3 linked regions of the Diceros bicornis minor genome follow. The protein of the gene in region 1 interacts with the protein of each later gene in a biochemical or structural test. Links are inferred from orthologs where the notes say so. Each region holds a gene or a part of one and is shown in the gene's direction. Other genes may lie near its edges. The genes, in order: PICK1, PRKN and GRM7.

Region 1 (7,514 bases):
TCAAAGAGGTCAAGTGACACTTCCAGGGTCACATGCTGCTACTGAGGCAATGCTCTGTCCAGCCCACCCACCAGCTCCCCACAAGTCCACAATCACACTCCTTCCCACTGGGCTCCCCTTTGATTTGAGGCCCTGCCCAGTGCTCTGAAGTGGGAGGTGTTACCTGGGCTCATCGCCTGCCTCTCCCAGCAGGTGAGCCCTGTCACGGCGGGGTATGACTAGTGTTCCCTGACGTGTCCTTGTGGCCTGGACACGGTAGGTGCTCCATACACACTTATTGAGTGAATGAATGAATGCGTGAACGAATGCACCGCCTCTAAGGGCCGTTGTGAGGGTCACGTGAGAGGGATGGAGACGCCTGGCGCAGGCCCGGGGCATTGGGGTAGAGTCCCACTGTCAGCCGCTGGGATTCCTGTAGTTATCTGTTTGATTTTAAAGCCCACGGTCTAAATCTCCGTGCTGACGATGAACTGAACCGAGCCTGCCCAACCACTCCTGGTTTCTTGACCTTTCCAGGGGCCTGGGAAGCCAGTGGTGAGTCAGCGAGGAGTCAGGCCTCATGCTGGAGCCACAGCAGCGCCGAGGGGCGGGCACGGCAGGCACAGCACAGCACGTGCATGACCAGCCTCACCATGGCCTCGGACAACAAAGACTCCTCCCCAGCCAGCCCTGAGCTGGGCCTGGTGGTGACAGCGACAGGAGTGGAAAGTGGGGGGACTCTTGCCACCGCGGGGTGCCCCAGGAGGTGTTTCTCCCAAAGGCCACTGGGTGGCAGCACTTCCCCAGGAATATGGGGTTAAGGGGACAAGCTTCTTTGGGATTGAATCTGAGGCTAGGGAACCTGAGGGAGGGAATCTTAGAGAAGACCGAGGCTCAGAGAGGGGTTGGGGCCTGCCTGGGGTCACAGAGCTTTCAGTGGCAGGGCGGGGCCAGGGGAGAGGTCACCCGCCTGCCTGGACAGACGCAGGAGCAGAGGTGGGGAGGAGAAGGAGGAGGAGCAAGCTCGGAGAGGGACGGTCTGAGCACCAGCCCTGGCTCAGCCTCCGGGAAGAGGGGGGATGTCCTCACCCCAATTTCAACCCCCAGAATCCTACCCATCCTTGAGGAAGGTGCTCAAACCTCCCCTCTGAGGCCCTTGCTGACCCCTCTCATCTGTGACTCTGGCCGAAGTGGCAGTTCTCTCCATGCTCCCACCTGATGGTGGCCTCATCACGCCTGTCACCACCCCCACTGTGTGTCTCCCCCACCACAGTGATTCCCTGAGGACAGGGACTGTGCCTTGTCCCCCTATCGCCTGCATCAGCTGTGCCCTCTGCTGGGTCACCTTGCCCCTCTTCTTGGCCTGGGTCCCACCAGCACCTCCTTCAGGACTCAGCTAAGATGTCACTTCCTCCAGGAAGCCTTCCCTGGCCTTTGGCCTGGGCAGAAGCCCTGCCTCTGGGCCCACATAAGGCCCTGGCTCCTCCTGGATGGTGAGGCCTCTGGGGCCAGGATGGTTGGTGGATCTGAACGGGCCCAACCCAAGCATGCACAGACACTGCATTCTGAGCGTGTGACACAGTGGTCCTCAAACTGCAGTAGGCCTCGAAGCCACCCATGGAGCTTTGTGAAAATGCAGCCTCCAAGATGCCCCCTTCCCCAGAGACTCGGATCCGATAGGTCTGAGACAGAGCCCAGGAATCTGCATGGGAGACACTTCCCAGACGAGTCTGATGCCGGGGCCTGAGCATCTTAAGGCCCTCTAGTGTGCCATCGGCCCTGCCCTCTGAAGGAGTTGGGCAAAATGATTATAATGAGGAATGACGATCAAAACCTCTGACATCTGTGCCAAGTGAGTCACTCCCAAGGCACTTTCACACCGTTTCTCCTTTCTATCTTCATCTGTATAACTTCTGTCTTGGGAGGGATCCTCATCCCCCCTCTACAGACACCCGAGGCTCAGAGGCAAAGGGTGATTTTGCCCAAGATCCCCTAGCTACAAAACAGCAGAGCTTGGATTTGATCTGGGGCTGTCCTGAGGTGGGAGAGCTGCAGTCTGTGTTAGAGCCTCTGGGCTTGGAGGTTGCTGTTTGTCAAAAACTGAAATTCAAAAATTCAGGACCAATAATTGGTCTGGTGATTCCAGTCCTGTAGAGGAAGCTCAGGCGACTGCCACGGTCCAGGTTCAGGCCCTCATCTCTCTTTCCCTCTCTGTCCATCCACATCCTCTCCTCCAGGGCCCAGAGAACATTCCCTCCCACATAAAGCCACAGTGATATCAGTGGCTCTTCACCCACAGCCAGGTATTGTGCCAGGCTCTGTGGGAGATACAGAGCAGGGCAAGGCCTGCTCCAGGGGCTTCCTGCCCACCGGAGGACAAGAAGTGTTTAACTTCGTGATGGAACATGGTACTCGAACCCTCTTTCCCCTCAAATAAGTACACGGTCCCAGCCTCACCCCCTTAATTAGCTGGAACAGGTTCCCATGCTGTGCGGGCTGACCCAGGAGGCCCCCTCCACTGGCAAATATAAAGTGGGTCATAATATTTTCACAGGCATTACAGAGCAATCAGATTTTCTTCTTATTTGTCACAGTGACACCTGTGGATGGATTCCTAGCATCCTATGGAAGGGGCAAGTGCCAGGGATTAGAAAGTCAGTACAGAACGGGAACTTAGGAAGGAGAGAGACAAGGAGAAGCCGTTTACAATTTGTCAAGATATGAGCCCTAAGCCCCAATTTTAAAGGGGAAAAAAACCTCCCCAGACAAAATACAATCATGTAATAAGTTAATTAACACAGAATTGGCTCAGGGAAGCTATGAAGGGATTTCACAAGGCCACACATACTTAATTGCCAAATGAGTGACTCAAATAACAACTGTTTCAGGAGCTCAGAAAAAGGGGCAAGATTTGTGAGCTGGGATTGTCTGGTAAGGCTGCCTGGAAAGGGTGGGTTAGAGCTGGGCCTGGAACACGGGAAGTTACCAGGCAGAAAAGAGGGTCTAGGCATCTTGCCCTCTCCTGGGAAGAGGGGCCGGAATGGGCTGGGGGTCAGGAGGCTCAAGTGGCAGCTGTGCCACGTGAATTGTTTACAAAGGACTCACACCTGTTTCTCCTTTTTCTCTTGACCTGCACAAGTACCTGTTGAGATGACCATTGTCCCTGGGCTGCAGACACCTGTAGCTCAGAGTCAGGCGGTGACTCGCCGAAAATCACTCAGCTACAAAATGGCAGAATCTGGGCTTGATCAAGGGTCTGTTACGGGTGGAAGAGCCACAGTCCGTGTTCAAGTATCTGGGTTTGGAGACTGTGCTTTTTTAAACTGAAATTCTGGCCTGCAAACGGGGCTTGAGGTTCCAGCCCTAGCTCTGCCACTGACCACCTGTGAGACAACCGGACACTGCTTCTCTGAGCCTCAGTTTCCTTAGCTGCACAATGTGGCTGGCAATCCTTGTTCTCCTCCCACAGGGTCATGGTGAACTTTACAATCCTGTGAAAGTGATCTGAACTGCAGAGCACTGGGTACATGGGAAGGTCATTGTTATTGTGGCATTCTGCACATTTGCTGAGACTCAGATTAGCCCCCTAAGGAGGGGGTCCAGGGGAGCTCCCATCAGGCTACGGGATATGTGGATAATCTCTTTGCATCTTTCCTTTCTCCGCTGCCCCTGGCGGCAGCCAGGAAAGAAGCTGGATGGGTCTGGGCCCCTGCTGCCTGGATGAGGTGGATGCCAGGGCAGTGGCTCTGGGAGCACCAACCCCCTCCAGGGAATCCACTTCACACAATAGCAGAGGTTGGCAGGGAGACGAGATACAGACTCCTTGGCAAGGAAGCACTGATGGCATTTCCTGAGCCTCAGGTACATGGGGGCTGTGACCCTCAGTGGGACCCCAGGGAAGCTGCTCCTCAGGACTAAGGTGGGGGATAGGGTGAGGAGTCTTTTACCAAATACCATAGAAAGCATCTGCCTCAATGCTCTTAGTTTGCATATGGGGAAAGGAGGCACGTAAAGGGAAGGGAAGGGAAGGGGACTGTCCAATCTGTCGTTAATAGAACCACTGAACACAAGTGTGCAAGCGTTGAAAGGGCACGGGACTAGGCGGCAGGAGTCTCAGGGTCAAGATCTGGATCTTAGACCAACTGTGGGTAGCTCTGGACAAAATCCCTTCCCTCTCTGGCACTTAGTTTCCTGATCTGCAAAACTGGGATTAGCCTGGCATCTAGGAAGGGTCCTTTCAGTTCAGACACTGTCATTCTAGTAGAGGACTCACAGCACCCTAGGACGGGGTGCTGAAAATGTGAAAGGGAAGGCCTCGGGGTTTGTAGTCCACCGAACTTCGCCAGAGGTCTCCCTGTCCAAAGATGCTTCCGTTGCCACGGCAACCGCCCGGCCGGCGTGGTCCCCGGCGTCCCGCTGAGGAATCTGGGAAGAACCCTGCCCTTACCAAGATGGCGGCGGCCACAGGGCGTGGGGCGGGGTTGAGCGCTGCCGCCTGTCCAGACCTTTCCTCTCTTTCCGCTTTTTCCTGCTAAGGGCGAGCTTCCGTTAATACTTGTTGTCCTTCCTGGTCCTGGGAGCCCCGGGAGCCGGGGAGGGAAGAGTTGCCTGCAGGGATTGGGGCAAATACCCACGGCGGGAAGGCGGGACTTCCGCATCCTGACGGAAGTGACGCGACAGTCGCGGCCGCAGACAGGTGGAACGGCAGGTGGGTTCAGGTGCCAGCCTGGCCAGGACCTGGCTGTGGGACCGACGCTTCCGGTGAGCGACGGAGGCAGCTCCCAAGGGCCTGGGACCCGTGGGGCGGGCTCTGGGATCTGAGCCTTCCGCCCTGGCCTGGAGTACCCCCCTGTACCTCGTAAGAATCACCTCCCCACTGCCCCACCCCGGGACTCCGGCCATCCTCCAGAGGGGCGGGGGAGGGCCCGGCTTTCCCGGGGTTGGCATCTAGGCACTAAGGTTCCCTAAACCCTACGCGTTTTTCTCTCCCGGCCCCAGTTCCCCATTCCCTTGCCGAGCTGGGCAGTTAGCCAGCCCACCTCAACTCTCGGAACCATGTTTGCAGACTTGGATTATGATATCGAAGAGGATAAACTGTGAGTATTTCGTTCCCCGAAGTCCCAAGAGTGCAGGAGCCCCAGGTCCCTCAGGTTCCCGGATTTCCCAGTTCCCCAGACCCTTGATTCGCAGAGGGAGATTAGGTCTTGTACCGAAGCAGAGATGGACCCTGCCCTTCCAGGAGCACACCATCTGTAGGGAGCTGTGAGAGATCATTGAGAGATGATTACAATTCAGGGCCATAAGGGCGCTAATGGAGAATGACCAGGCTCAAGGAGAGCAGAGCAGATGGAGCACTGCCTCTGCTGGGGTGTTCAGGGAAGGCTTCACAGAGGAGGTGGCAATTGAGCCAGGTTCTGAAGGATGAATAGGAATATCGTAAACATACTTTCCTCCCCTGTACAGATGATTAGTGGGACAGATTTTCAAAAATTAAGTTGGTCTCCTTATTAGAATATATCCTCCCTCAGAGCAAGGATGGGGTCCAATGCCTTTCTGTGTCCTCAGCACTTAGTAAGGTGCTCAACATCAATAGCAAATGTTTGCTGTTAGCAAATGTTTATTGAATGAATAAGTGAATAAATGAGACTATTTACCACAAAACATAAATAAGTGTTAATTTATAGTGAAAACTGAGAGGTAACTGAGTAGAGCAATTGAGAGATGGATGACGGATAGTTTAACAGGAGAAGGCTTCCCAGAGGAGGTGGCCATCATGTTCCATAATGAGAAGGTGACAAGGACAGAGTCTGACTCAAATCTCAGAGGTAGAAGGAAGGAAAAGGAAGGGGGACCTAGGGCCGGCCCCGTGGCTTAGCGGTTAAGTGCGCGCACTTGGCTACTGGCGGGCTGGGCCCGGATCCCGGGCGCGCACCTACGCACTGCTTCTCCGGCCATGTTGAGGCCGTGTCCCACATACAGCAACTAGAAGGATGTGCAACGATGACATACAACTATCTACTGGGGCTTTGGGGAAAAAAAGGAGGAGGATCGGCAATAGATGTTAGCTCAGAGCCGGTCTTCCTCAGCAAAAAGAGGAGGATTAGCATGGATGTTAGCTCAGGGCTGATCTTCCTCACAAAAAAAAAAAAAAAAGGAAGGGGGACCTATTTTTATGGCGTGCCTGCTCTGGGCTGGGTTGGTGTTAACTGCCTTCCATGCACTTTCTTACAAGAACTTTGATAAAGCAGCCGTTTTTATCCACACCGTTTTATGAACGAGGAAACTGAGATGCAGAGAGGGTGACTTGGCTGATGAATGGCGTAGCTGGGATTTGATCCCACATCTGCATGACTCTAAGAGCTGTGCACGTCCCAGCACAAAATGCTGTCTTTTTGGCCAAGTGAGGAAGAGAAAAGGCTGTGCAGCATTTAGAGTCTCTCGGGCGTTTTGGAGGGCCTGTCCCCTTCCCCATTTCCTCCAGTGTCCTTCCTCGAGGACATTCAGCTTCATGTGCTGCTCTTTTCAGCGGAATCCCTACTGTGCCTGGGAAGGTGACCCTGCAGAAGGATGCTCAGAACCTGATCGGGATCAGCATTGGAGGAGGGGCCCAGTACTGTCCCTGCCTCTACATCGTCCAGGTATTGGGTGCTTTGGAGGCGGGAGAAGGTCCTGGGAGTGGCGAGCCACCTCCCTCCTTGGGCATGACAGAGGCAGGTTCATTTCTCCAATCTGCAGAGCTGGCTCCTTCTCACTCTTGAGGTCTGATCTCCTCGGAGCGGCCGTCTTGACCACCCCCTCTCAGTGGGTCTCCCCTTGCTTTTGTCTTTCATTTCAGTCTGTTCTTTTCCTTCTCAGCGTTTATCACCATCTGTAATCAGGGACTTGCTCATTAGTTGTTCTGTATCTAGCTGCCTTTCTAGACTCTTTGCAGTGTGAGGGCAGGATCCCAGTTTGCTTTTCCATTGCAGTCAGCACCTAGTACAATGCATGGCATATAGTGGACCTTCAATAAAAACATCTTGAATGAACGAACAAAACCACCAGCCTTGGGTACTAGCGCAAGGGAAGTGTGGTAGAAAGACTAACAGACTTTGAAATAATAATGGACGAAGTTCAAATACAAGTTTCCCTGCTTATTAGCAAGTTACTTTACCTCTCTGGGCCTCAGTTTCTTCACCTGGAAAGTGGGATGTAAAATATGTAGATATGAGCGTCTTTGGGTGGTTATGATGATTAAACAGAATGACGTGATGCAATGCCTGGCGCCTAGTAAGCACTCACTGCATGGTAGCGGCAGTTGTCGCTCACTGCTTTTTATGGCAGTTGTTCAGTTTCCCAGGTGACCAACTTTGTGGTCCTTATAGAAGCTGCTGCCCTGGTGATGGTCTGTCAGCTGTGACTCAGGAGCCAGGGACAGTTTTCTTCCCTGTGTGGCTGGTCGGAGTCAGGGATCTTTCTGTAGCCTTCGAAGGAAGCTTGCCAGCTCAGACATAAACTTGACCTGGATTCTACCATGTTCGAACCTTCTCAGCTAA
Region 2 (8,082 bases), on another chromosome or scaffold:
CAATGAACAGGATCAGTTTCCATCTTGGTTGACAAAGAGGGAGAATTAGGGAAGCCACCTTGAAGCAGCTGGCTTTTCAGCTGGCCGAAAAAGTATAAGCTCCTTGAGGCATGCGTTCTGCCTCTTCCAGACTGCTCGATTCCCAGCACCTAAAACAGCGCTTGGCATAGTGATCAGTAGATATTTGTTACCTAATGACGGAAGGAATTTGTGTGGGCTGGGAAGGATATGCAGGGAGAAGGGCATTGGTGCAAAGGGAACAACGTAAGCAAAATCACACTAATGAAGCGTTGCAGTTTAATTTGGCAGAAGCGAATGAGAACAGTGGGAGATTGAATTAAAACCACAGAATGGGGTTAGATCACAGAGGCCTTGCCGGTCCTGGGAGGTACCATGATTTTTTTCTATAAGAACTGAAGAACTCCAAAAGCTTTCAGCAGCGATAAGAGGAGAACTTGGTACCAGAAAGGTGAGTGTAACAGTACTAATAGCTGATTGAGGCAATCAACCAATTGGTGGATGGAGGCTAGAGACCAGTTTGGATATGTTGTAAAAACCTGGACAAATGGTGATGAGGGCCTCCATCAGGTTATTGTCACTTGGTCCTTTCATCAGCAGTATTTCCACTGTACGAGAGTAGGTATTTGTAGGCTTTACCATAGATGTGTATTTATTTGTACTGTAATTATTTTATTTGTCTATCTCCTTTTCTTCACTAGCAATATTTAGCACTGGTGGTGGACACTTCTAATCATCCCCCAGCTTCCCTTTATTACAGTAATAAAACACTTCAAGTTTTAGCTGGACACAGAGCTACCAGTCAGAGACTACATTTCCCAGCCTCTCCTCCAACTAGATGTGGCCATAGACTGTGTTGGTGACGGATTTGAGCACAAGTGAGGAGTGCAACTTCTGGCATGTGCCCTTCTAAGGAAGCTGCTTGCTCTCCATTTTTTCCTGCCTTTTCTTGCAGGTTGCTCCTTACCCATTTTTCTCTCCTCCTGCATGAAGTAGGAGCTGGAGACTATGCTCTTTTGGAACTACACAACTGGCTTAGCCCTTTTCCTGATGAAACAGGTACGAAGGTCTGGAGTTGTTCTAAGGGTCAATCTTTCAAAGGCTTTTGCAAAAAGGGAAAATATAGGCCTGTGACTAAATTCTAGCCAGTGGGATGCGAGTGAAAGTGGGTGCTGTGTTTTGGGTCACGCCCATAAAAGGAAGCCCTCTGCTTCCTCTTTCCTCCTTCCTGAGGATAGGGATCTGACCCTGGTGGTGGTGAGCTCACCTTGACCCACGGCATCATCCTACAGGATACAAAGCAAGAATATACAAGGCTCCTATGTCTCTGGATCTATCTCATGGGGAAGCAGTGCCCAACCTTCTGGATAATCTACAAACCTGGACTTGTATATATGAAAGAAACAACTTCCATCTTAGTTAAGCTATTGTTATTTGGTCTCTGTTAAAGCAGCCAAGTCAATATCTTAATATATGGTTCATAAACATTAACCATTACCACAATGTGTTGAATGAAGATATGATTCGTAAGTATAAAAGTTTCTATATAAGTAAAGAAATATTACAGTATTATTTCTCCCATTCCCATAAACTTTGAGCTTAAAAAAATCTATCGTCTACTGAAAAGGAAAGCTATAATATAAAGCTTCAGTTGAAGTCAACTTCTCTATCATCATAACCTTTGGCTCATATTCAAACTTGCTTTATGATAAGGTAGATTAGCACAGAAAGCATCTACTGTCTATTGAGATGAAGTCAATACAACACTGGGCTACAGGTTTCTGGTTATGGGCTCTATCATGCCACAAACAAGGCCTTTAAAGGGAAAAGGAACTATGAACTCTTCAAATTCTATATCTCCTATCATTCTTTTCTGTCAAACATTATAACAATAAACATTTGAATATTATTCTCTGATTGCAGAACTTGTGTCATTGCTTGTTTCCACTACAGAAGGCAACAACAATTTCAAGGAAGTAAAGGAACTACTTACTACTGAAGAACAGCATATGCTATTGGAATTTAAATAACCAGCCATTTACATTTATCATTATTTTGTAATTAATTTTGCATTGTCATATATAGATTATGACTGTTTAAATAAAGATTTCTGCTTGCATAGCCCATCTGATCAAATCTGTTTATGATCGAGTTTGTAGCCTTATATGACTACAGCACTCTTAAAGAAACATTGGGAATCTCCATAGAACTCCTTAGGGTATGGTTCTATATGTCTTTCGTGGAGGAGCACCAGAATGGTGACATTTAATTAGCAAGTATTGGAAAGAAGGAACTGAAGGCAAGTCCCAATACTAGAAAAATGGTTTAGGGCTTCGCTTTTGAAACAAGAGGTTGTAATTAAGACAAGCTAGAGATTGGCATATTATTTTCTAACAGAAATAAACCTTAAGAAAGAGGGGTATTTTGACTTTATAATGCCGAAAGGTTTATACGGTTGAAGACAGAAACAGTGAAATGTAAATACTGGGTATGAAAATGAAAGGTTTTATTTCCTGTACCACTGAAGTTAGTTTGCATAAACAGTACTGTTTATCTCTCTTTCGTCAATACTTTAGTGTTGTTGTTGGCGGTGGTTTTCCTTGGAGTATTAAGGGCAGGAACTCTATTTTGCTGGTCCCAAACCCCAAAGTTGTGCTTAGCAAGTTCTTAGTTTAGATTAAAAAAAAAAAAGGTGTTGTTGATTGAATGAATGAGGGGACGAGTAATGTTTGTCTCTAACAATTATGATTTCCACTAAATGAAGTGAAAGAATGACATCCTATTTTGAGGATCCCAGTGGAGACATAGATATTACACTACAGGATTTTCCTTAAAAATATGGCAATAAGAAGATAATTTATCTCAAATAAGTTGTTTAAAAAGAAGGCTGCTTCATAATCAACGGTTTTTTGAGTCCTGTAAGCATATTTGTTACACTCGGCAATACTGAAATACTTGATTTTCCAGAATTATGATTTTAAGTATAAGGCTATGTTTTAAAAAAAATAAACATGATTATGAACATGAGTTTAAAAAAAAAGAGGAAGAATGTGACCAATTTTTTTACGTCTTTGAAAAAGTATAACATTGAAAAAAATCACTAAAATTATAATTATAAACTCTGTTTAGAAGAAAAGCAAATAATTAGCTTTAAGGTTATGATACATTGTATTGCTGATAAATGAGTCGTCTTGGCTCTCATGACCACCTATTCACGTGAAATACAGGGAGAAAGACTGCAGTTACAACAAGCAGAAGTTTTACTCTATTTCCAAAAATTTTAACTACTGTAAATCAACTGACACATTCCAACAACCAGAATATCATTTTGTGTAGCAACATGGGAATCTGGCCTAGTGGTCTAGAAGTAATATGTTTCATTCATGTGTTTTAAGGATGTGGTTTAGAAAGAAGGTATTAGGTTTACAACATTTACGTAAAACAAATAACGTGACACTGGAAAGCAACATTATTCATTTAACATAATGAGTTGCTATACAATAAGTCAGATCCTCCCAGAGTGTAAATTACACAAATTTGAAAGCTGTATTTATTATTTAATACCTCATTCCCAGACAGCTGCTTACCCCGTGGTAAAACTTGGTTTAGCATACCAAATTTAAAGCTGTTTTTTTTCCTATACCTATCGTGCATGTAGCTAAACTATTTGTGTGCAATTTAAACCTTTTTCCCCCAACGGTATTGATAATATTTTCTTTTTACTACCACAAAAAATAGAAATGAAATACGAATTGTAGTAACAGAGATACTTGAAGTGAAGCTTGGCTTGTTTAAAATTAGCAGTTTAAAAGGTCTATCTGGAAATAGACTTCATATTCAGGTGTCTTTCAGTACTCTAACCTGCTGTTTTCTTTTTGTGAGAAACAGTGCCCTTAGAGTAAATGCTAGGATATTCTAAAATTTCCTAGGCTGAATTAATGAGATTTCCTATTGTAGATTATTTAATATTTATGTTTCCAGCTGTACATCAGCACATGTAAAATTTTACAAGAGAATTTAGGATTTCTAAGAACTCACTTTCAATGAGGCTTTTTGCTGACTGGGCTAGTTTAGGAATCAACAAGCAAAGTGGATCTTTCTTCTTTGTGTAAATAGTTTAAGAGTGATGTGCGGTGGTCTAGAAACCATGAGTTATTAGGAAGGTGCTTATAAATGGGTATAGTACATCACTTGTCCAAGATCCTTTCTAACAACCTATCCTGGACCTCCACACTCTGTTGGGCACCATCTGCTACTGGCTGAATAATTGCCATTTTTGGCAAAGACCACCCAGGACATGGGCTCCGAATCCATCCTAGGGCCAGCCAGCCTCTACAATCTGATTCGGAGCGAGTGCATTCAGTTTAGAAAGATCACTTACGACTGAGTTTTTCATCATGGCTTTGACTGTGAAGCCCTCAGAAACCCGGGAGTGAGGCTGGTGCACCGGCAGCGGCTGTTGTGCCAGCAGCTTGGTCCTCTTCGGCATCTTGTCTAGGCATTTGTTTAAGCTCAAGGTCTCTTTTTCTGCCACCATCTTCCTAGAAAATGTCTTGTTCTCATAAAACGTGTAGTAAAAGAGTCAGTGGGTTTTACGGATGTGAGAAGGAGGTCGGGAAAAAATGTAAAAAGGCGCGTTAATGGTAGAACTTCAACCCCCTCGTAGTGCCCAGGTTGATCCAGATGTTTGGCAGCTCCTAGGTGAAGGGAGTTGAGGGGAGGGGAGGGGCGGGAAGAGGGCTGGACCGTGGCTTGAGCTGCAACAAGCTTCTAAAGGTTAGCCTCCCGGTTGCTAAGCGACGCGTCAACACGGCGGCCGAATGGTCCCGCCCCCCGTGACGTACGTTTCCTGGGCCTCAGTCCCGACGGGCGGCAGGCGGCGGGAGGCGGGCGGGGGTGAGGAGAAACTACGCATTAAAACTACGACTCCCAGAAAGCCCCGGGCTGCGCGCCGTTCGCGCTTGCGCATTCCTACGGCTGGGCACAGGGAGGGGAGTCTTGGACGATTTAACCCCGGAGCGCCGCTGGTGGAAGGCGCGGGTGGGCTTCGGTGCCCTGGTAGTCCTCGCCCTGTCCGGCAGCCTCCACCTGCCCAGTGACCATGATCGGTACGTGGGTGCCTGCCAGGTACAGCCTCTCTGCGCCGTCCCGCGCCCAGCCGTGGCGCCACGCCGGGCCTCGGCCGACGGGGACCCCAGGGTGCCTGCCAGTGCCAACTGTCAAGGGCAGGGCGGCAGCGTCCGCGCCGTCCTCTGCCCGCGCCGGCGGCTTCCCAGTGCCCGCCCAGTGTGTGTTCTAAGCCCCCACCCCGCCCCTGCTGTGACAAGCTTCCCACTGAAGACAACCTGGCGAGGGACCCTGGGGTGCTCCTCCCCAGGTGGACGCTGGGTTCCACTATCCCACGGCGAGTGCACTGCTCAGTCAGACCTGTGGGGGTCCGTGGGAAGGCCTTCCTGTCCGCCCCCATTTCCATCCCTCAGGGAGACTTGGTCGGTGTCTTCCAGTTTAGGACAGATTGGGACCCACTGTCTGTAGGATTCTTTAAGGGAGACCCTAGCGAAGCATTGACTCTAATGGAAGGTACCTGGTGATGATGGTTGTCATCAAAAGAAATTCCTGCAGGTGGATTTAAACTTCTTGCTCCCTGCGATTTTTTCTTTTAAATCTCTCATTGAAGGTCTGAGATGAACGATTAAGAGTAAATCATAGCAAGGGTTAAACCTTTTGCATAGTGAATCATTAATTCACTATGCAAAAGTTTTTTTTTTTTTTTTTTTTTTTCCAAACACAAAATAACCTAGGTGCATTTTTGTGAATAAAGCTTTGGAAGTGGCTACTAGAATTGTTTATAAGCACTGTGATGTATAAGATTAGCAAAGTTCCTCTCTTCCAGGGTTGTTAAACCAAAAGTTATTTTAGGGATTATCTCTGAAAATTAGTGGAAATGCACAATATGATTAGAAAACATTGCTAGTTTGGAGTTTATTATGACAGAGACTTGTTTTAGATTATGCATTGAAGATTTAGTGAGTTTATTTTAGGATTATTCTTGACAGGCGCCACTTACAAAACACTTTTGATTGCAGCGAGTGCATCTGAAGTCAGATGTGGTTTGTCCAGAAAGATGAGAGGTGGATTTTTAAAATATGTAAGTTTGTATGCACTGATAAACTCTTCTTAAATCTTTTATTTATGAAAATAATGTTAAAATGTAAAACATTCTACCTGTAACTAGGAGAATCATGCCAGTTAACTGACACTGTCTTTGCGGCAATGATAAAACCTAAAGATGTCCAACTTTTCTTACCTTTCTAGCCTGGTATAACTTTTGGTGAATGACTTTTGAAAGCTGTCAAATTAATAAAAATGTGTAAATATTTAGGAATCTTTTGAACCTTTTTAGGTGGCAGTTACACAAGATCCACTTGTAAACACAAATCTGATCTGAATCAGAAAACCAAGTAGAAGTTTTTCAAAATCCATACTATCACTATTTTATAGGAAAAAATAGTCTATACCTTATTTTAAAGACAATTGCACAAATTTTAATTCAACTTAATGTAATGCATGAATAATTTTAAAAGAAACATTTATGGTAAAGCTATATAAAGAAGACAGGAACTTAAAGATCTAAAAATCAGGGGCCGGCCCCGTGGCATAGCGGTTAAGTGTACGCGCTTTGCTGCTGGCGACTCGGGTTCAGATCCCGGGTGCGCACCGACGCACCGCTTGTCAGGCCATGCTGTGGCGGCGTCCCATATAAAGCGAAGGAAGATGGGCACGGATGTTAGCCCAGGGCCAGTCTTCCTCGGCAAAATGAGGAGGATTGGCAGATGTTAGCTCAGGGCTGCTCTTCCCCCCACACACACAATAAATAAAGAAAGAAATATTTAAGAAAAAAAAAATCTAAAAATCATCATAATTCTAAATTCTAATAAATGATTATATGAATAACTTTATTAGGAGGAAATATGTTTAGGCAGTTTAGTTTTTATTTGGGATTTAGGGCCACAAGAAGGAAGAGTACGGTGTGGTTGATTAGACGATGTCTAGTAATGACATGGAGAATATGAGGTGGATTTAAAAGGCATTCTTTCCCATACTCCAGCTGTTGTTTTACATAGTGCAGATAAATGTGTGTTACAACATAAATAATTAAATCCATGCCCCTTCCCAGGACAAGTACCTTCCATATAAAACCATGTGGACAGTGTGCAATACATTATTTTATACAACTAGTTGCATTGCCCAATTCTGTTGGTGGGCATATTTTAATAAAAATATTAACTGCCAGTTTTGGACTTGGTTGTGTTGAATAATGGTAAAGGTTAGTGAAAGTGGAAGCAAGTGAAGGGACATCTTAGAGGGATGGGTTTCCTGTTTCCGCAACTAAACTTTAGAGCCAAGAAAGATGTGATAGTCTCTGCGCAGTGATAAGCTGGAGAACAAATACACATGTATCTGGGGATAGTTTTTTCTGCTAAAGACATGCGTGCTACTCATACTTGCCCCTTTCATGCCTGTGCTCTCTTTAATTGCTACACCCTCGTTAATGCAAATAGTACTCTTCTACTTTATTTGAATCTTCCATCACTTTTGAGGAAAAACAAAAATGGGTTTCTCAGTGGAATAGGAGTAAAGGAGATTGACTATTACCTCACTACCAATAAAATTACCTTCCTTTTACTTTCTTAAAACCCGGGATTCCTTCTTGGCACGGAGACTGTTTCCAAAGTACTTACATTCCCCACTTGGATTATGATTGATATGTTAAATGCCCTGACCCAGACAGCTACAGAAACATAATCTAATTGAAGTCGATGAAAAACTATAACTTTGTGAGAAGTGTGGAGAAGGACTTGAGGATAATGTAAAGCAAAATAGAAAAGCTTAAGAAAATTCAACTTAGAAAAATGTAATTTTGGACACCTCTATTAAAATTTATTTCACCCTTTTTTAAAATTAGCAATTCTTTGTATTTAAAATTGAATTTTAGTAGTGATATTTGAGGTATATTCTAAATGTCCTGCAGAACTGGATTCAGGTATTTGAGTAGTATCAGAT
Region 3 (7,506 bases), on another chromosome or scaffold:
TCAATTTCTTTCAGCAATGTTTTATAGATTTCGGTGTACAGATCTTTCACCTCTTTGGTTAAGTTCATTCCTAGGTATTTTATTCTTTTTGTTGCAATTGTAAATGGGATGGTATTCTTAATTTCTCTTTCTGCTACTTCATTGTTAGTGTATAGAAATGCAACTGATTTTTGTATGTTGATTTTGTATCCTGCAACTTTACCATATTTGTTTATTACTTCTAAAAGTTTTCTGGAGGATTCTTTAGGGTTTTCTATATATAAAATCATGTCATCTGCAAATAGTGACAGTTTCACTTCTTCCTTTCCAATTTGGATCTCTTTTATTTCTTTCTCTTGCCTGATTGCTCTGGCTAGGACTTCCAGTACTATGTTAAATAGGAGTGGTGACAGTGGGCATCCTTGTCTGGTTCCTGTTCTTAGAGGGATAGCTTTCAGTTTTTCACCATTGAGGATGATATTAGCTGTGGGTTTCTCATATATGGTCTTTATTATGTTGAGATACTTTCCTTCTATACCCAGTTTATTCAGAGTTTTTTATCATAAATGGATGCTGTATCTTGTCAAATGCTTTCTCTGCATCTATTGAGATGATCATGTGATTTTTGTTCTTCATTTTATTAATGTGGTGTATCACGTTGATTGATTTGAGACTGTTAAACCATCCCTGGATACTTGGAATAAATCCCACTTGATCATGGTATATAATCTTTTTAACGTATTGTTGTATGCAATTTGCTAGTATTTTATTGAGGATTTTTGCATCGATGTTCATCAGTGATATTGGCCTGTAATTTTCTTTTTTTTTGTGTTGTTTTTGTCTGGTTTTGGTATCAGGGTAATGTCGGCTTCATAGAATGAGTTAGGGAGCTTCCCCTCCTCCTCAATTTTTTGGAAGAGTTTGAGAAGGATAGGTATTAAGTCTTCTTTGAATGTTTGGTAGAATTCTCCAGGGAAGCCGTCTGGTCCTGGACTTTTATTTTTGGGGAGGTTTTTGATTACTGTTTCTATCTCCTTGCTGGTGATTGGTCTATTCAAATTCTCTACTTCTTCTTGATCCAGTTTTGGAAGGTTGTATGATTCTAAGAATTTATCCATTTCTTCCAGATTGTCAAATTTGTTGGCATATAGCTTTTCATAGTAGTCTCTTATAATCTTTTGTATTTCTGAGGTGTCTATTATAATTTCTCCTCTTTCCTTTCTGATTTTACTTATTTGTGCCTTCTCTCTTTTTTTCTTGATGAGTCTAGCTAAAGGTTTGTCAATTTTGTTTATCTTTTCATAGAACCAGCTCTTGGTTTATTAATTTTTTCTATTGTTTTTTTGGTCTCTATTTCATTTATTTCTGCTCTGATTTTTATTATTTCCGTTCTTCTACTGATTTTGGGCTTTGTTTGTTCTTCTTTTTCCAGTTACTTTAGGTACATTGTTAGATTGTTTATTTGAGATTTTTCTTGTTTGTTGAGATAGGCCTGTATCGCTATAAACTTCCCTCTTAGAACCGCTTTTCCTGTATCCCATAAATTCTGGCATGTCGTATTTTCATTTTCATTTGTCTCCAGGTATTTTTTCATTTCTTCTTTGATTTCTTCGTTGACTCAGTCGTTGTTCAGTAGCATTTTGTTTAATCTCCACGTATTTGTGGTTTTTCTGATTTTCTTCCTATAGATGATTTCTAGTTTTATACTGTTGTGGTCAGAAAAGGTGCTTGGTATTATTTCAATCTTCTTAAATTTATGGAGACTTGTTTTGTGGCCTAATATGTGATCAATTCTGGAGAATGTTCCATGTGCCTTTGAAAAGAACATGTGTTCTTCGGTTTTTGGATGGAATGCTCTGTATATATCTACTAGGTCCATCTGTTCTAGTGTATCATTTAAGGCCAATGTGTCCTTATTGATCTTCTGTTTGAATGATCTATCCATTGGTGTAAGTGGAGTGTTAAAGTCCCCTACTATTATTGTGTTACTGTCTATTTCTGTTTTTATGTCTGTTAATAATTGCTTTATATATTTAGGTGCATCTACATTGGGTGCGTAGATATTTACAAGTGTTATATCTTCTTGTTGGATTGTTCCCTTGATCATTATGTAATGCCCTTCTTTGTCTCTTTTTACAGTTTTTGTTTTAAAGTCTATTTTGTCTGATATGAGTACTGCTACCCCAGCTTTCTTTTCATTGCCATTTGCCTGGAGTATCTTTTTCCATCCCTTCACTTTCAGTTTGTGAGTGTCTTTAGGTCTGAAGTGTGTCTCTTGTATGCAGCATATATATGGGTCTTGTTTTTTTATCCAGTCAGCCACTCTTTGCCTTTTAATTGGAGCCTTTAGTCCATTGACGTTTAAAGTAGCTATTGATAAGTATGTACTTACTGCCATTTTTTAACTTTTTCTTTCTCAGTGTTTTAGTAGTCCTTCTCTGTTCCTTTCTTCTTCTATACAGAATTGGTGGTCTCTTTAGTTTGACCTCTGTCTGCAAGCTCTACGCTTTAACTCCCCTCCTCCCTCCTTTTATGTTTTTGATATCATATCTAACCTCTTTTTTGTGCATTTGTATCCATTACCCTCTTATCATGGAAATAGATAATTTTTCCTATTTGTGGTCTTCTCTTTTCCCCTCAAATCAGTCCCTTTAACATTTCTTGTAGCGCTGGTTTCTTGGTGACAAACTCCTTTAATTTTTGCTTGTCTGGGAAATTTTTGATCTCTCCTTCCATTTTGAATGATAACCTTGCAGGGTAGAGTATTCTTGGCTGTAAGTTTTTTCCTTTTAGCACTTTAAATATATCATGCTACTCTCTTCTAGCCTGTAAGGTTTCTGCTGAGAAGTCTGCTGATAGCCTTATGGGGTTTCCTTTGTATGTAACTTGACATTCTCTTGCGGCTTTTAGGATTCTCTCTTTATCTTTAATTCTGGACATTTTGATTATGATGTGTCTTGTTGTGGGCCTCTTTGGGTTTATCTTGTTTGGGGCTCTCTGTGCTTCCTGTACCTGGATGTCTGTTTCCTTCCTTAGGTTAGGGAAGTTTTCATCTATTATTTCTTGAAATAGATTCTCTGCCCCTTTGTCTCGCTCTTCTCCTTCCGGAACACCTATAACACGGATGTTAGTGCACTTGGTGTTGTCCAAGAGCTCACTTAGACTGTCCTCACTCTTTTTAATACTTTTCTCTTTTACCTGTTCAGCTTGGGTAATTTCTTCTAGTCTTTCGTCCAGCTCACAGATCCTTTCTTCTGTATCCTCTACTCTGCTTTTGAGTCCCTCTAGGGAATTTTTCATTTCCAGTATTGTATTCTTCATTTCTGATTGGTTCTTTTTTATATCTTCCATTTCTTTGTTGACATTCTCACTGAGTTCATCTATTCTTCTCCCCAGATCATTGAGCCTCCTTAATACTCTTAGTTTGAACTCTCTGTCGGGTAGGTTGCTCATTTCTGTTTCACTTAGTTCCTTTTCTGGGGTGTTGTCCTGTTCCCTTACTTGGAATGTATTCCTTTACCTCCTCATTTTGCCTCTTTCCCTGTGCTTGTGTCTGTGTATTAGGTAGTTCAGCTATGTCTCCTGCTCTTGAATAGGTGACCTTATGTAAGTGATGGCTTAGGAGGCCTGCAGTGTGCTTCCCTCAGTTCTCAATGTTCCAGGGGTGACCCCTATGTGGGCTACGTGTGTCCTTCTGTTGTGGCCTGTTTGCTCTCCCTGTAGGCGCCCAGGTAGGCCGAGTTATGCTCCTGGCCAGCTGTTGTACTGCTCAGCTGCTTGTAGTTGTTGTGGGCCCTTCAGTCTCTTTATCAGGTGTGGGGAGCCCCAGCACAGTTGGCTGCAAGTTCTAATACCACATTTGTGTTGCATTATTTTTTTTAAGTGAGTAGGCCCCCAGCGTGGCAGGTTGTTAGGCTCAGGGCCTTACAATTGCTGTAAGCCTCCAGCCTTTAGGTCTCTTGTCAGCTCTCTGAGGATTGCAGCTGGGTGGGGCTGGCCTCAGGCATGGGAGCACCCAATTTTTTCAGGCTGTCCTTCCTTTGGAAGGAAAGACCTGTGTGGGTCTTTGAGAAGCACAAGTCTTCTGCAGCTGACAAGCCCTGCTGCCCACAGGTCCACACACACAGTCAACACAGTCCTGCCCCTTGTGCATGCCCCGACCTCCCGAAGCGAACCCAGTGTCTCCGCTGCGGGAGCCCCACACACTCCACCACCGCCCCACACTCTCCACCCACTCCTTGTGCACACTCTGCCCCGCTAAAGTAGGCTCAGTTGCCAGGCTGCAGAGAATCCAGTCACCAATCTATGCAGGCCCACAGGTTGCCTGAGGGCTTGTTGTTGGGTGGGGCCAGTCTCTAGGGTGGGCTGCCTGCCCTGGCTGAGCTGGATTAAATCAGTGCTCTAGTGGTTGGGGCAGACCTGGGCCAGCAGGCCTCAGGGAGAACTCCAATGGTGTCTGTGTCAGCATGCCCACACCAGGCCACAACAATGGCCGCCGCAATGTCCCAGTCCCTGGAGAGGTTTCACCTCTCACCGAGATGCACTCAGGGCCTATCAGGTGAGTCTCTTTTCACCAAAGCACTGTGCACCTTTCTTTCTGGTGATTTTAGGTTGCTTTCTGAAACGGGTGAGTTTGCGCGTGGGCCCTTTAAGAGCCGGTTTTACTTTCTTGTGAACCAGCTTTTCTGGGGGTACTCCCCAATGTTTTAGTAGCAGGTAAAGTCAGATATTATGCCACTCATCTCGATTGTGCTGAGTCCACAAAATGCCCACAGTGGGGGTGCTCCCCGGCTCAGGGCCCTACTCCTCCAGGGAGGCTGCGTACCTGTGGGCTGCTCCAGGGCGGCCGTGAGGCGCTGCGGCTTGTGAAGGTGGCGTTTTTCCTCTGCAGAAGGGAGTTTCTGCCTCTTCTAACTCAGTTAGGATTGTCCGTTGTTGCAGAAGTTCCTCTTATCCAGTTTTCAGTTCTGTCTCAGGGGTAATTTTTCCACGAGTAGTTGTAAATTGGCTGTGTCCGCGGTCAGAGGTGAGTTCAGAGTCTACCTATGCCGCCATCTTGACTTCTGCTATATCTAAGTTTTCTTCTTTAGATGTTATTTTACTATTTTTTTATACATTTAATAACCTTTTCCCTAAATAATTAATCTCATCCACATTGCAGATAGAAATGCCCAAGAGCTTCCTTTCTAACAAATCAAACATTTTCTTTTTCATAATTGAACTGTGGTAAGTGATTGCATTTTGCAAAGAAAACAGTATTATATTTCTAGAGAATGTATGACCTACAACATATCTGCTTTAGCATACTAGAAGGTTTGAGTTACATGAACTGATCTCTAAAATCTTTTCCAATTGGAATTTTCCAGCTGGAGAAGTTGAGATTCAAGAAGATTTTAGGATGAGCAGTGTAGTTTAATGCTTCACTATGTCATGATTTAGCACCTCCTCATATATTAGGATAACCTCCATCTCTGCTGCACACTCTATCTCTGTTGCTTAATTTCTCATTAGTTGATTGACCTGCTCAGGCAAATGAATAATATATAGCAAGACCATGCATTCATAAAGTATCTAGATAGGATATGTTTTGTATATGTGGTTTTCAGTTCCTAGATATTCTATTAGTATTTGGTTAGTTCCCCCTCTGTGACCTAATTAAATTTCTTGAGGATATTTTGATAGCCTCATTTGAATTAAAGTGAATCACTCAGACGTTACCTTCTATGAGTGTAAACATGAAGCATTCTACATTTTGTAAATTCAGATGGCTTTTTATTGAAATCCAGAAGCTGAGGTTTTGGCCTTTGTGAGATGATTGACCATATGAAATTTTCTGTCTTTAGGCTGCCTATAGTTCTGGGTAACTGGCTCTACAAAAATCTATAAACTAACTCTAGCGAGTGTCAACTACATAATTTTCTACTTACAGATTTATATTCTATGCATTTTACAATTGAAAGTGTTCAACACAAACATTATATTAAAGCTTTCTCTGCCTTATTAACTGGTTAATTTAGAATATCACATTGATTAATGTTAAATGCTTAGGTTTGGGAACAGTTGGCTCAATTTTGTTCCACTGAGTTTTTTGTTTTTCATGTCTTTATCCTTCTAGGTGCTAAAGGACACTGAAGTTTTGATTGTTGGCGATGTCGTCATTTATTTGATTAGAGTTTATCTTATTAGTGTTTCAGTAATATATATAAAGTAGAATAAAGTGAGTCCATACGGGACTGAGAGACTGAGGTTTAGTTTTTGAATATTCCAAAGCAAAAGTTTTCATATCAATGAACCAGATCTAAAAAGCACTATATTCTGCCTCTTTTTACACTATCCCTCCTTCTCCTTCATTCCCCACCATTGTTTAATTCACAGATTATTATAACTGGAAAGGTCTTTAGAAAGTTTTCTATTCAATCTTTTCATTACAAGATAAGAGAAAGGACATCTCTAAAGATTAAGAGTCTTGTCTATATTAGCTCTGTTGATCATTACTAATACTAAGTCTTCCACATAAGGTTGTAAGAGTTCTTGAAAGGAACTTAAAACTTCCTAAGATAGTTTCTTTTCCATTCTTAGAAGCGGGTAGAGAGTACACATGCTTGGAGAAATCCAGCCACAGTTCCGTCCCTGTATCCTGTAATTATTGGAGGGGAAAAGAAGGAAGAAAAGAGGCTCCTAAGAAGATGGATCAAAGTTTCCTAGGGGGTTCCTCCTTTCCACTTGGATTTTATTTCTGTCCTTTAGAGTTAATGCCTTTAAATGATTGGCAAGCCCCTTAGGTTCATAGTTACAAAGTATCTCCTTGTCTATTTATCTGATGTAACTGTGTCAGAAAGAGACCAGCATCTGCCAAGATTTAGGCTCCCTCTGCTGTGGTTTGGTATAAAGCCATTGGTAATGGCTGTCCAGCAGGATACTAACTTTGTAGCTGCCACCACTACCATCACAGCATCCGTGCATTTGGGCAGGACTATATGAATAGTTTTCACCAACTGAGTAAGAGCAGAAAGGATGTCTCATTGTAGGAACAAAATGGTGAGAAACAAGTGTACATTCTCTGTCCTTTTATACCTTCCCATTCTCTCTCTGTTGACTGGGATCCAAAGGAATCTGTGGCCATAGGAGTCACCAATCTACACAGTTGAAGGAATCATTTTAGAGAAGAGAGCTGCCCATGAATCAGGAATGTCTTTAATGAATTGTTACAAGAATGATAAATAAACCTTTGTTATGTTAAGCCACTCCAGTTTTGGTGTTTATTTGATTTAGTCACCAACATTACAGTGACTCAAATGGCTTTTTGTGTTAATCATGTCAAATAAAAGTAATATGCTTATTCCTTTTACTGCCTAGATATGTTTCTCTGTGTCTATAAATGAAGAAATAGCCTTATTTTTATTGTGAAAAGTAGGAAAGAAAAAAATGTTATGGGGAAAGATAAGGTAGTATCTTTGAAGCATATGTTTATATTTATAAGGTATGTCATTGTTTATCTCTCAAGCAATTTTCCCATTTCACATGAGA

The links.
Region 2: the proteins of PICK1 (region 1) and PRKN form a complex in vitro, tested with the Homo sapiens proteins (3 studies listed by BioGRID and IntAct, with this or other methods). The link is inferred for Diceros bicornis minor from reciprocal best matches to the Homo sapiens genes PICK1 and PRKN.
Region 3: the proteins of PICK1 (region 1) and GRM7 form a complex in vitro, tested with the Homo sapiens proteins (2 studies listed by BioGRID, with this or other methods). The link is inferred for Diceros bicornis minor from reciprocal best matches to the Homo sapiens genes PICK1 and GRM7.

What each region holds. Positions count from the first base shown.
Region 1 is NC_080764.1:11,767,835-11,775,348, reverse strand, and holds the start of PICK1 (PRKCA-binding protein), read left to right. Parts: upstream 1-4,483; 5' UTR 4,484-4,687; exon of another isoform or gene 4,688-4,740; intron 4,741-4,746; exon of another isoform or gene 4,747-4,837; intron 4,838-4,977; 5' UTR 4,978-5,034; coding exon 5,035-5,075; intron 5,076-6,505; coding exon 6,506-6,617; intron 6,618-7,514. UniProt on the Homo sapiens protein: Probable adapter protein that bind to and organize the subcellular localization of a variety of membrane proteins containing some PDZ recognition sequence.
Region 2 is NC_080778.1:7,907,509-7,915,590, forward strand, and holds the start of PRKN (E3 ubiquitin-protein ligase parkin), read left to right. Parts: upstream 1-5,025; 5' UTR 5,026-5,119; coding exon 5,120-5,126; intron 5,127-8,082. Other genes in the region: PACRG (parkin coregulated gene protein), read right to left, coding at 4,400-4,555. UniProt on the Homo sapiens protein: Functions within a multiprotein E3 ubiquitin ligase complex, catalyzing the covalent attachment of ubiquitin moieties onto substrate proteins. Substrates include SYT11 and VDAC1.
Region 3 is NC_080741.1:73,028,376-73,035,881, reverse strand, and holds the start of GRM7 (metabotropic glutamate receptor 7), read left to right. Parts: upstream 1-4,416; 5' UTR 4,417-4,428; coding exon 4,429-4,537; intron 4,538-7,506. UniProt on the Homo sapiens protein: G-protein coupled receptor activated by glutamate that regulates axon outgrowth through the MAPK-cAMP-PKA signaling pathway during neuronal development.